Linked DNA regions of Xenopus tropicalis. The protein of the gene in region 1 purifies or fractionates together with the protein of each later gene. This does not show direct contact. Links are inferred from orthologs where the notes say so. Each region holds a gene or a part of one and is shown in the gene's direction. Other genes may lie near its edges.

Region 1 (4,229 bases):
CCGTCGCGCTGAGTACAAAAGTTTCGGATTCATTCAAGCTTCAGTATCGTGACTTTCCTTGGGCCAGTTTGGTGCTGCAGAGTGCCATTGAGTCCTATGGGAGGCTTCCAAAATCATGCAAAGTCTGAAAGATTTGCCCGCCGTTTACGAGCGCTCAATACAAAAAAGTCGTGACAATATACGAGCAAATCATAACGGCTACGAAAAAGTCACTACAATTCGCACAAGTCGTAACGGCTACGAAAAAGTCGTAACGGCGACGAAAAAATCGCAAAAAATACGAAAAAGTCGCAAAGTGTTCGTTTCCAATCCGAATTTTTCCCATTCGGATTCGTGGATTAGTAAATGTGCCCCTATGTTTTGTATTTATATTTTATTATTATATTGACATCTGTCTTTTCTCCTAATATTAGGTATAGTGATGCAGGGCACAAGTAACCCTATATAACTAAACATATTCATATAAATATACATCCATATAAATTGTAAATATTACTCATGAATGCACAGAATGTAGTTTTCAAATTCCACCCCTTTTGTGTCACAATTAGCAAATTTTGTATTATTGTTATTATGGGCTAGGCCTGGATTTTGATCACCAGCCCTGGAATTACTGGAACTGACTAATATGACTGCAGACACTGCACAGAGATCATTGTGAGTGATATTAATAGCTATATCTATAAACAGCGCTTACTAATGTAATGTGATAACCTGTGTCACGTTCCTCTGTGAAACTTGTGTATAACAAGCACTGTTCCCTCTGTTGTAAATGTACTGCTTTTAGCAACAGCATTTGGGGTCTCTTATTTGAAAACCCAATGCCCAGAAAAGCTCCACATTATGAGGCCATCTTGATTTTCATTACATTACTTTAAACCCAGGTCCCAAGCTTTCCGGGTAATAGAGCCCATACTGGTATTTATGATATATGAACAACAAAAATGCAATTACACTGCATCACTGCTTGTGAAAGTTGTGGTATATGCAGAGTAGAAATGTCAACGCTGCGAACACTGACTCTCCTTGGCAGCTTTGGTGTTTTACACCCATACATATAACCGTGCCTTTCATCTTTTCATCTAAGCTGTACCCGAATGTACTGCAAGTGCGCATATTTGTACGTACATATATATGTATGCATATGTGTGTGTAAACGAAACTGGACTTAAACATGCAGCACAGACATTATATTGGTACATGCGATATATATTAATCGGTCCAAACAATAGCTCATTGAAAGCCAGCAGCATTGTCTTCCACCCCGAAAAGCTTCACATCCCATTCCTTTCCATCCTTAGCCATCCCAGAGGCAGCTATTTCATTAGCTACAAACTCTCTCGCAATCACCAATCCGAACCACTTCTTTCATAAGTCTGCCATTGCCTATTATGTACTCCGCTTCCCAATTGGCTGAGGTGTAACGCCTTCCCTCCCGCTTATTCGTCTCCTCCTACCCGCAATAGGCTAGTCCTTGGCAGCTGGTGGTGTGGACCCCGCGGCCAGTATTGTTGATTGGCTTAGTAGGGATAGAGAAGGCGGTGGTTCGCAGTCCGTGAGGCGCGCCATTTTACTAGCTCACTGTAACAGCGGGCGTGAGGCAAGAGGGCCATAGCTCTGCAGGTGAGTAGGCTTCCTCTGTTCTCGTTGCGTACGCTTCTGAGCGTCCGGCCACGGTTTCCGCAAAGCTGTAATGTTTGAACCTGAATAGCAGCCAAGTATGACAACCTTCGCCGCCATTGTACTTGTCCTTTTTGCGTTTTAAATTGGAGTAGATGTAAAACTGTATGAACAGTTAGGTGTGTATTCCGCAGTAATGAATACTATCCTTCAGACCTCAATAAAAAAAATCACTGCAAAACAATGTATAATGCTAATGGAATTCCGGAAAAAATATGGAATGGTTAAATGTTCATTGTAGCTTGTTTGAAGGTGTATGCCATTCATTTTAAATGGGCAGCATCTATTGTGTTCAGTGTATGTAGAGGTCCATGACTTGGGTGCTGAATTGCGTTAGGGCACTAACATAGTAAACGGGCTAGTTTTTATGGGCTGTCATTTATTGCATTTGTTAATATATGTGCCCTTTATACTCTTATTTATATTGCATAGTGTGCAATGTTATGTAACTCATAGCTATTGAAAATGTAGTTTCCAGCTTTGTTGGACAGGGCTTTGATATGTGAGGTTTTGCAGCAGCTGTAGAGACACAGTTTAGTCTCTTCTGGCTTGGCACTTGGAATCGGTGTCAGTTTCTAATTGTACAGTTAATTAATTAGTAGCAATTAAAATGATGCGTTAAAATGAAAGTGTTTTTTGTTCTCACTATAAAGGGAGCTAAGCTCCAGTAACCGTTTTGTGTTGTGATTTACCTATCGGTAATGTGGCAAGGAATTTTGCCATAACTTTTGATTGTTTATGGTGGTTGTTTTCTAAACAAAGTAAATTAGTTGTCAGTTGAGAGACCCTGACTGCCTATGGGCGCATGACACAACTGCCTGACATTGTTTAATTTAATATGCTCGCTGAAAATGTACTATAGTGGATAACAGGCGCACAAGTTGGACTCCGTTGGTTAAATGTAAATACATACAGATCTTAAATGGTTCTTATATGTTGCTTCCCCTGCAATTTTGTCAACATAACAAAAAGCCGAGTTGCATTCTAAGATAACTTGATGTTGATCCTCATTTCTTATCTTATTTTTTCCCCAGTTCTGGTGCTCATTTTGAACTATTTGATGCTAAGATCACAGTCCTTTAAAAGCACACCATCAACCCTAAAAAAAATTTAACACATGGAAACTGTATCTAGTGTTTAAGTGATTGGGGTTTAAGCAATTATCTTATTAAAAACCCAGTGATTGTAATTGTTCACCTGCCTGGGTCTCTGGTCAGGTAGGCCCATTGGAGTGCCCCATGGGCAGATAAGCTACCAACTTGGACTATAGGAGCTGAATCAGAAGCCAAAATCTGCCCATGTATGGCTGCCTTTAGTCAATGGATTGAAGATTGTAGAGGCAGGATTAGTAGCCCTTTTCTTTATTACTATATACATTTTTACAGGCTGGGGAGATAAGAAAAATGATGCCTATACTTTATTCAAATGGGATAAGGGCAAAGACACACAGAACTACTTAGTAGCAGCTACTTGTCACCGCTACTAAATGCCAGAAAATACCCTACCATAGACAATACTGAGAATTGCATCTGCTAAACACTCGTAGAGAGGATTATCAGTAAATGTCTGTTTTTGTAGCAGTGACAAGTAGCTGCTACTAGTAGCTCCATATTGCTTCATCTAAAGTGCTGTCAACTTAGCTAATATAGTACCTGTAAGAAATGCTTGGTATTTTACCTACCAAATTAAAATGCTGTTGTGTAGTTATCCCTAGCAGAAGGAATTCTGGGAAGGAAGCCCAGGATTGCTCTTAATTTCTATACCCTATCCTTACCCACTGGGTTTATAAAGCACTGCCAAGACAGTAGGCTGACTGGATTTCTACCCTGGCTGTGCTTTAAAACCCAGTGGTGAGTTTCTGTCTATAGGGTGTGAAATGGAGTTTCCTTTACAAAAAATTCCTTCTGCTTTGCATATGGATGAGGACATCTCTTCTCAATCAAAATTTTTTTTTTAGTAGCTGTTCCGAGTAATATCAGATTTGGTTTCTTGAAAGGGGCTTTTGAAGAGTAGGGAGGTTATGAGAGGTGTTTAGGAATGGCCTGACCATCCTCATACATTGGCAGCATACACGCGGTAATTACGATTTTTCCCACAACCATTGGGCATATGAAAGATTTTTCATCCTCTCTAGTAACGTTAAGAGCTGAATCGTCAGGTATGCAGGTAAAAACAGAGAAATTATTTACCCCATCTGACAATTTAGCATTAACTTTACAATGTTCAGGCCCCTTCAAAATTTTCAGTCCTTGGTGAGACAACTGATATCCAAGGCTTTTACCAGTAGCGGTCGCCTTGTCTCCCACTGTGCGCACACCGATTATCGTACAAAACTTTGTTTCATATGATAATATCTGTGCGTGTATGACAACCTTAAATCTGCAGGTTGAGTTAAGTTTTCATACCCCACTCCACATTCCATACCCCACTGCAACTAATTTGTACAGGATTTCCATTAGTCTTCTACAAGTAAAGTAATAAAAGTAACTCTTTACCTGAATCAGTCATGGTTGCTGTGGTTTACTGCAGTAGTGCATATTTGCCGAGGA
Region 2 (4,267 bases), on another chromosome or scaffold:
GGGACACAGTGGGGAGGAAGTGGCAGGGACACAGTGGGGAGGAATTGCAGGGACACAGTGGGGAGGAAGTGGCAGGGACACAGTGGGGGAGAATTGGCAGGGACACAGTGGGGGAGGAAGTGGCAGGGACACAGTGGGGAGGAAGTGCAGGGACACAGTGGGGAGGAAGTGGCAGGGACACAGTGGGGAGGAATTGGCAGGGACAGAGTGGGGAAGGAATTGGCAGGGACACAGTGGGGGGAATTTGCAGGGACACAGTGGGGAGGAATTGGCAGGGACAGAGTGGGAAGAATTGGCAGGGACACAGTGGGGAGGGGAATTGGCAGGGACACAGTGGGGAGGAATTGGCAGGGGCACAGTGGGAGAAGTGGCAGGGACACAGTGGGGAGAGATTGGCAGGGGCACAGTGGGGGAGGAAGTGGCAGGGGACACAGTGGGGAGGAAGTGCAGGGACACAGTGGGGAGGAATTGGCAGGGACACAGTGGGGAGGAATTGGCAGGGCACAGTGGGGAGGAATTGGCAGGACACAGTGGGGAGGAAGTGGCAGGGACACAGTGGGGAGGAATTGGCAGGGCACAGTGGGGAGAAGTGGAGGGCAGGCAGTGGGGAGGAAGTGGCAGGGACACAGTGGGGAGGAAGTGGCAGGGACACAGTGGGGAGGAAGTGGCAGGGGCACAGTGGGGAGGAAGTGGCAGGGGCACAGTGGGGAGGAAGTGGCAGGGACACAGTGGGGAGGAATTGGCAGGGACACAGTGGGGAGGAAGTGGCAGGGACACAGTGGGGAGGAAGTGGCAGGGACACAGTGGGGAGGAAGTGGCAGGGACACAGTGGGGAGGAAGTGGCAGGGACACAGTGGGGAGGAATTGGCAGGGCTCCTCAGCAGTAGGAACAAAACCTTGAGCGGGAAGGCTCAAGCACTTACTAATGGGGACTGTATGTAGCCCGTATATGTATGAGGCAATATAGTTGTACCCATTGGGTGTGCCTGGCGGGGCTAATAAGGGAACACAGCCTTACTGGCCTTGCCTCATCCCACGCAACACACACTGACTAACATGAGCCACAGATAATAAAATTCCGGGAAAAGGCGCATTGCCGGTCACATGGTCACATCGCTTAGTCTCTGCCGCCATCTTTACTTTGGGCCGGTGTCCCGCTACCAGTACGTGGTCGATATCCCGCTACAAAAGCGGGAGCAGCCGCTGCCCCACGCTCACGGTTCAGTTTGCAATATCGTTGGGGCGGAAGCCAGGAAAAAGGTTAACACCGAGCGGCTGGTCGGTTTTTCTACTTGTTGGACAGGTTTCCCTGAAGCAATATGGCGGCGGTAGGTCAAGGCCCCGCCCCGCGGAGGAATATGGTGACGTCAGTTGCCGGCCGGCCTTATATAAGGTGTGTGCGCGCTGCGTGTTACTTCCCTTCCTGCCGAGCCCTCCCGTCTGTACAGCCGCTCCCGGAACGCCCTTTGTGTAACGCCATGCCCGGATTCAACGACAGGGACCGCGCCCGGGACAGGGGGTACGTACTCGGGGGTCTCCCCGTGAGGTGCCGGCAGCTTCTGGCAGAGGCCAGTGGGGAGTTTGTTTGGGCTTAATGTTTCCGCCCGATGGCGGCTGGTACGGTAGGTAGGCATTATGGGATGTGTGTGTGTGGGGGGCCCATGAGTAACGGGGCTTCCGAGCGATGGATTGTATTGTTCGGCTCCCGGGAGGCGGGGCTCGGCGAGACAAGATGGCGGAGGCACCAGTTGCGGCTCTTTGTCTCTGCACAAAATGGCGGCGGGGGGGGGAAGGGCTCTCCTTCTATTGCCTTGTCTGGCGCTTGTACTGCCCTCCGTACTTGTACTGCCCTCACTCCCTGCCGCCTCCCCGCCGCCTCACTCCCCTCTCCCCGGCCGCCTCACTCCCCTCTCCCCGGCCGCCTCACTCCCCTCTCCCCGGGGCCGCCTCACTCCCCTCTCCCCGGGGCCGCCTCACTCCCCTCTCCCCCGGGCCGCCTCACTCCCCTCTCCCCCGGGGCCGCCTCACTCCCCTCTCCCCCGGGGCCGCCTCACTCCCCTCTCCCCGGGGCCGCCTCACTCCCCTCTCCCTGCCGCTTTATTCTTTTATCTTCCTTTGTCGCTATTTATCCTGGCAGCTGTTTATCTACCCGGGTGTATTCCCCTGGTACTTCCCCCATAGCAACTGCCCTATTGTGTGGCATCTCTATCTGCCTGGGTATATTCCCATAGCAACTATCCTATTGTGTTGCACCTTCTTGTGCTATCTGCCTGGGTATATTCCTTTGGTACTGCTCCCATAGTACCTGCCCTATTGTGTGGCCTCTGTCTGCCTGGGTATATTCCCATAGCACCTGCCCTATTGTGTGGCCTCTGTCTGCCTGGGTATATTCCCATAGCAACTGCCCTATTGTGTGGCATCTGTCTGCCTGGGTATATTCCCATAGTACCTGCCCTATTGTGTGGCCTCTGTCTGCCTGGGTATATTCCCATAGCAACTGCCCTATTGTGTGGCATCTGTCTGCCTGGGTATATTCCCATAGTACCTGCCCTATTGTGTGGCATCTGTCTGCCTGGGTATATTCCCATAGTACCTGTCCTATTGTGTGGCATCTGTCTGCCTGGGTATATTCCCATAGTACCTGCCCTATTGTGTGGCATCTGTCTGCCTGGGTATATTCCCATAGTACCTGCCCTATTGTGTGGCATCTGTCTGCCTGGGTATATTCCCATAGTACCTGCCCTATTGTGTGGCATCTGTCTGCCTGGGTATATTCCCATAGTACCTGTCCTATTGTGTGGCATCTGTCTGCCTGGGTATATTCCCATAGTACCTGTCCTATTGTGTGGCATCTGTCTGCCTGGGTATATTCCCATAGTACCTGCCCTATTGTGTGGCATCTGTCTGCCTGGGTATATTCCCATAGTACCTGTCCTATTGTGTGGCATCTGTCTGCCTGGGTATATTCCCATAGTACCTGCCCTATTGTGTGGCATCTGTCTGCCTGGGTATATTCCCATAGTACCTGCCCTATTGTGTGGCACGCTGCTGGCATATCTGTGTAGTGTCCCCTGGGTATGATCAGTCTGCCTGTAACCAGGAACAAGGTGTACTTGCAGAATATCCCTGCTGGGTTTATAGACTCTCCTACAGTTGCCCCATGCTGGGGCAGAGCTCTCACCTAGCAGTACCTGCAGTCTGGGTGCAACTGCTCCTTGCACTGCTGATTAGGCAACCACTTGGCACCTCCCTCTGTCGGTTTATGTAACACTGGCACGGCATGCCCTCAGGGAACCTACTTGGCATATACCCAGCACAGTTCAGTGGCCATTTTGCATAGGCCTCTCTCCCCTGGGGTTCTGCGCAGTAATGGGAAGGAAGGTGATGCTTCTAACTTAAAAACAAATTATCATTTTCCTGATGGCTTTTCTGGGTCTGATTATGGGCCTAGTGAGGTGCCAGGATGGAATCCTGTAAAGGACCAGGACTGGCATTGGCTGCACTAAAAATAAATGCTTTTTTCTGGCAGTGCCCATTTGTTGTGCCTGCTCATGGAATAGCTGAGGGCCGCACCTCTGTTAAATATACTGCCTGCCAGATATGTGTTGCATCTGATCAGTGTGTGCTGTCTCTGCTCTAAAGCTGGCCACACGTGGTCGCACGAAAGATCGTTCCAACCCTCCACTGACGTTCAGGGCTGAATCGTCCGATAGAGGTAGAAACAATAGGATTTCTGCAGATTCAGCCGTGAAAATAGATTTTGCTCAGGTGTCTTTAATGGAGCCTCCTGCGATCTTGCCATACACGCACCGAATATAAACAAGGTTGGTGTGTGTATGGCCAACTTTACTCTGGGGCTGTCTGAGAGTTGGCTTTGGAGCCCAGGCTTCTCTTTGCCAATGGTGGGATCTCCCCCTAAAGCAGAGTAGTTTGTAGCTTCCTGTGTATTCTTAGTGACTGCATATGAATGGCCCCTTGCATATCGGAGAGCATTGTCCTGCTCTGCATGGCCATTGTCAGTAGGGCAGTACCAAGCCAGGAGTCTGCTTTGTCGCCCAGTTGGTTCTTATTGTTTGCATTGACCCTTTTGTCTTATATTCAGATTTGGAGGTGGTCCTCGCTTTGGGGGAAACCGAGGTGGTACATCTGGCAAATATGGAAACCCTGGGGAGCGGCTTATGAAGAAGAAATGGAACCTGGATGAACTGCCCAAATTTGAGAAGAATTTCTATCAAGAACATCCAGATGTTGTGAGACGGACACCGGT
Region 3 (4,289 bases), on another chromosome or scaffold:
ATAAAAGATTATAGATAGATAGATAGATAGATAAATTGATAGATAAAAGATTATAGATAGATAGATAGATAGATAGATAGATAGATAGATAGATAAAAGATGATAGATAGATAGATAGATAGATAGATAGATAGATAGATAGATAGATAAATTGATAGATAAAAGATTATAGATAGATAGATAGATAGATAGATAGATAGATAGATAGATGATAGATAGATAGATAGATAGATAATAGATAGATGATAGATAGATGATAGATAGATAGTAGCAAGCTATCAAGACTTAAGGAAAAATGAGAAACAGATGAAAATAGACAGACATATGGAACAGGGGGCATTGCTTGCCTGAAACCCCCATGCTCAGTTCACACATCACAAACCGCTCCCCCCCCCCCCCCATCTCTCAGTCCACTCAAGCTCTTGCTGCTCATTCCTACCAATCAATCCACCTCTGATTGTGCCCCACCACCCCAATTGCACCCAAGGCACGTGCCTCTGCTGCCTACCCCTATCTCTGGACCTGCAATAAATGACAGATAATATCAGATAATGCAGGCATATCGGGCAGCTGCCCAGGGCCCACGTCTCGAGAAGAGCCAAGATTGTCTAGATTATCTAGATTGTAAGCTCTACGGGGCAGGGACCTTTGACTCTTAACTTATTGCAACTGTATCTTTTATTTATTGTTATACTTTGTATTTATCTCTTATTATCTTAATAACCCCCTGTTTGTATTAATGTATTCTACTGTACAGCGCTGGGTACATAAGTAGCGCTTTATAAAGATATACATACATACAAGGGACAAAGGTACTTCTGCACTATTCAGCCATGAAGCTTGGGGGGGGGTAGGAAGCCTCAGCTAATAGCAAAGGTGGCCATACATGCTAAGATTTTTCCCTCCCTAACGACCAATTTCACATTTAGCGATTTTTCATCCAACATTGGTCAGAAAATCCATTGGGCAGGTTTGAAAGCAATAAAATTTGTCCATTGTCCAATTGTATGCAGGGAAATTGTCATTTTCAAACCTGCCCAACTAAATCTGGGCAAGCCTTCTTATTGCAGCATGATGAGGACAATGTATGGGATAAATATACTGATATTGCGGTCTTTGAAAGGAATAAAAAGGGCCCCAACATGACATTTTCATCTGCCCCATCAACTAAGATGCATCTCTCCCTTCACACATCACTTCATAGAATGGCCCCTCCGCCATACCATTCACATAACATACCCAGCACAGCAAGAAGCAACTATATATGTTGCCTCTGCTTTATAGTGCTTCGGGTAAAACTTTATTGACTTCACAAAAACATAACAGAGTTCTGTTTTAAACTCGTTTATCCGGTATTTTAGCCGTCGCTACCTTTCCTCCTAACCACTCCCCCTCTGGTGTGCGTAATGGTTTGTCCCGAGTGCATATAAAGGGCTGCAAGTTCCCCGCCTTAGCACAGTGCGCAGCGGAGGTGATATATCGTGGTTACTAGGCGGTACTTGGAGAACATCAGTGATACCGCAACATGGCCACCAACGGTAAGGAATTACTTGACGTTCGCCCTTTGTACTCGGCTGCTAGTTTTGATATTTTTGTTTCGCGCTAGTTGGGGGCTGTGTATGTATAGTCGGGCATAGTGTATAGGCTTTAATATTTGTTATATGTCTTAGGGTGCGAAGCAAAGTAGTACTCAGGATTAAGATACGAGATCTGCTCGTTCTTTGGCGCCATTTTGCCTTATGTGTATTTTTCGTTGTTTCTATGTATCCGGTATCGCGGATATGTTACTATGCGTGCATCTTGTAGGCTTTCCCCGTTGTATCGGTCCCGCCGCTTCTTGGCTCCTCCCACCATTGTGCTGAATGCGCAGCTGGCAGCCATTTTGTAGCCGCACTGCGCTGCTTTCGCCATTTTGTATCCGGGCGGGCTGGGCGTGTGGGGCACTAATGCGTGGCATTCTGTCCGGATAAACCTTCCCAGAAAACGAGTGTTTTGTGTAGTAACGTTATAAGAAAAAAATCTTGCCTCTGGAAACCATTATCCGTGGTTTAGGGGGAGGGAATCAGTATATTGGTCAATTGCCCACAGGGCAGAACATGAATAAGTCTCTGTAGGGCTGGTAAATGGCTGCAACACTGCTGCCTGGGGGATCTTTAAGCAGATTTAACTAGTAAAGTAAATTCTTGGCTGAGACATAGGGTAAGAAGCGGGTAGATATATATATGTGTGTGTGTATGTGTCTACATATATATATATATATGTGTGTGTGTGTGTGTGTATGTGTCTACATATATATATATATATAGTATACAGGGAGGAGCACACCCTATACAAGTCCAAATGCCCTTGGTGCAGGTCAAAAAACAAAAATATAATAGAAAGAGTGCCGCACACATAGGGACTTGATACAAAAGAAAAAGTGGTTTTATTGAAAAAATGCCAACTTTTCGAGCACAATCTGTGCTCTTCCTCAGTTGGTTTGTCCCTGAGGAAGAGCACAGATTGTGCTCGAAACGTTGTAATTTTTTCAATAAAACCACTTTTTCTTTTGTATCAAGTCCCTTATATATTATATCCCTTATATATTATATATATATATATATATATATAATATATATGTGTGTGTGTGTGTGTATATAGATAGATATATAGAACAAAATAAAGCACACCCTTAAAGAATTCAAATGCCCAAGGTGCTGGTGCCTGCACACACAGGGACTTTACAAAAAATCACAAATTTATTAGAACAAAAAAAGTCCAACGTTTCGAGCACCTACTGTGCTCTTCCTCAGGGACAAACCACCTATATATACACATATATATATATATATATATATATATATATAATATATATATATATATATATATACCGCACTCGCAGGACTTGGTGAAAAAATAAGATACCTTTATTGTGAAACCACGTCAATCTAACGTTTCGGCCGGATCCTCAGCCTTTCTCAAAGTATATATATATATAACAGTGGGCCGCACACACAGGGACTTTGCTGAAAAAATAATAAATTTATTTAAGAAAAGAAATCCAACGAAACCTGGGTGCTAGTACCAAAAAAATGCACTGGAACAAGGCCGGCACTCCTAATATTTAAAGAATTGTGAGCAGTGTAAATATTGAAAGGTTATTACTCAACGTTTCGGTCTCACACAAACCTTCATCTTCATCTGGAGAAAGCTTCAACCTTCACTCCAGATGAAGGTTTGTGTGAGGCCGAAACGTTGAGTGATAAACCTTTCTATATCTAAATTTTGCTCACAATTCTTTAAATCCTAAGAGTGCTGCCCTTGTTCCAGTGTGTATATAATATATATTTTACCCCGCCCCCCCACCCAGGCTTCTTGTATAGGAAACTATGGACCTCAGTGACCTTGTTGTAGTTCCAAGGCCATTAAAGGGACAATAGAGACTTGTGCCCTGTAATTCCATGCACTGGTCTTGATTTAAGAAAAGATCCTGTTTTAATTTAGTGTTGGGTGTGGAAGGAAAGTTTTCCTCACAGGGATTCACTATTTTTTTGGACTATGGCCTGATAAGACTATAAACTGGCCATACATGGGTAGACTTAAGCTGGCCATATATGCACCAACAATATCGTACAAAACCTCGTTTCGTACAATATTCGGTTTGTGTGTATGGCGGCTCGACGAGGCACCCGATATTGCAAAAGGCTGCGGATATCTGTCGACTTGTTGATCGGCCAGGTTAAAAGATTTGTCCGATATGGAGGTAGAAACAATAGAAATTCTACCCCCTTCTGCCCTGAACTGATTTTGCTTTTGTACCTTCAACGGTACCCAAGCAAAATCTAAGTTCAGGGCAGAAGGGGGTAGAATTTCTATTGTTTCTACCTCCATATCGGACAATTCAGCCCTGAACGTCTGTGGACGATCTTTGGTGCGACCGATGGCATTGATGTGCCCCTGTCTGGCCTTAATTATCCAAATAAGGGCCAGAATATCACAATGTAGTTTTGTATGATATTTGGCCTGTGTGTGGTAAGTTTTGTACGATTTTCAGGCTGTGTGGGCTCTACATTATCACCACAATCATTTTTGTACCATGGTGTTCGGTTGTTTAGTCGATCGGACAGGATAAAACATTTTGGTTGGATAAGGATAAAATCTGTGCATGTATTGTGTATGTGCCGATATCCTTGGGGGGCCTACAATGGGAGTCACTTTCATACGGTTGGTGTCTGCCAACTATTTCATGCCCAGAACGCCCTCTGATATATTTTTAGGATTTTATCCTATAATTTCAATCTGCATGTTCG

The links.
Region 2: the proteins of hnrnpr (region 1) and ddx5 fractionate together in Homo sapiens (co-fractionation; 3 studies listed by BioGRID and IntAct, with this or other methods). This does not show direct contact. The link is inferred for Xenopus tropicalis from reciprocal best matches to the Homo sapiens genes HNRNPR and DDX5.
Region 3: the proteins of hnrnpr (region 1) and fus purify together in Homo sapiens (affinity purification with mass spectrometry; 4 studies listed by BioGRID and IntAct, with this or other methods). This does not show direct contact. The link is inferred for Xenopus tropicalis from reciprocal best matches to the Homo sapiens genes HNRNPR and FUS.

The regions. Positions count from the first base shown.
Region 1 is NC_030678.2:82,773,221-82,777,449, reverse strand, and holds the start of hnrnpr (heterogeneous nuclear ribonucleoprotein R), read left to right. Parts: upstream 1-1,425; 5' UTR 1,426-1,623; intron 1,624-4,229. UniProt on the Homo sapiens protein: Component of ribonucleosomes, which are complexes of at least 20 other different heterogeneous nuclear ribonucleoproteins (hnRNP). hnRNP play an important role in processing of precursor mRNA in the nucleus.
Region 2 is NC_030686.2:51,533,103-51,537,369, forward strand, and holds the start of ddx5 (probable ATP-dependent RNA helicase DDX5), read left to right. Parts: upstream 1-1,460; 5' UTR 1,461-1,478; coding exon 1,479-1,519; intron 1,520-4,102; coding exon 4,103-4,265; intron 4,266-4,267. UniProt on the Homo sapiens protein: Involved in the alternative regulation of pre-mRNA splicing; its RNA helicase activity is necessary for increasing tau exon 10 inclusion and occurs in a RBM4-dependent manner. Binds to the tau pre-mRNA in the stem-loop region downstream of exon 10.
Region 3 is NC_030685.2:6,034,290-6,038,578, reverse strand, and holds the start of fus (RNA-binding protein FUS), read left to right. Parts: upstream 1-1,482; 5' UTR 1,483-1,525; coding exon 1,526-1,538; intron 1,539-4,289. UniProt on the Homo sapiens protein: DNA/RNA-binding protein that plays a role in various cellular processes such as transcription regulation, RNA splicing, RNA transport, DNA repair and damage response. Binds to ssRNA containing the consensus sequence 5'-AGGUAA-3'.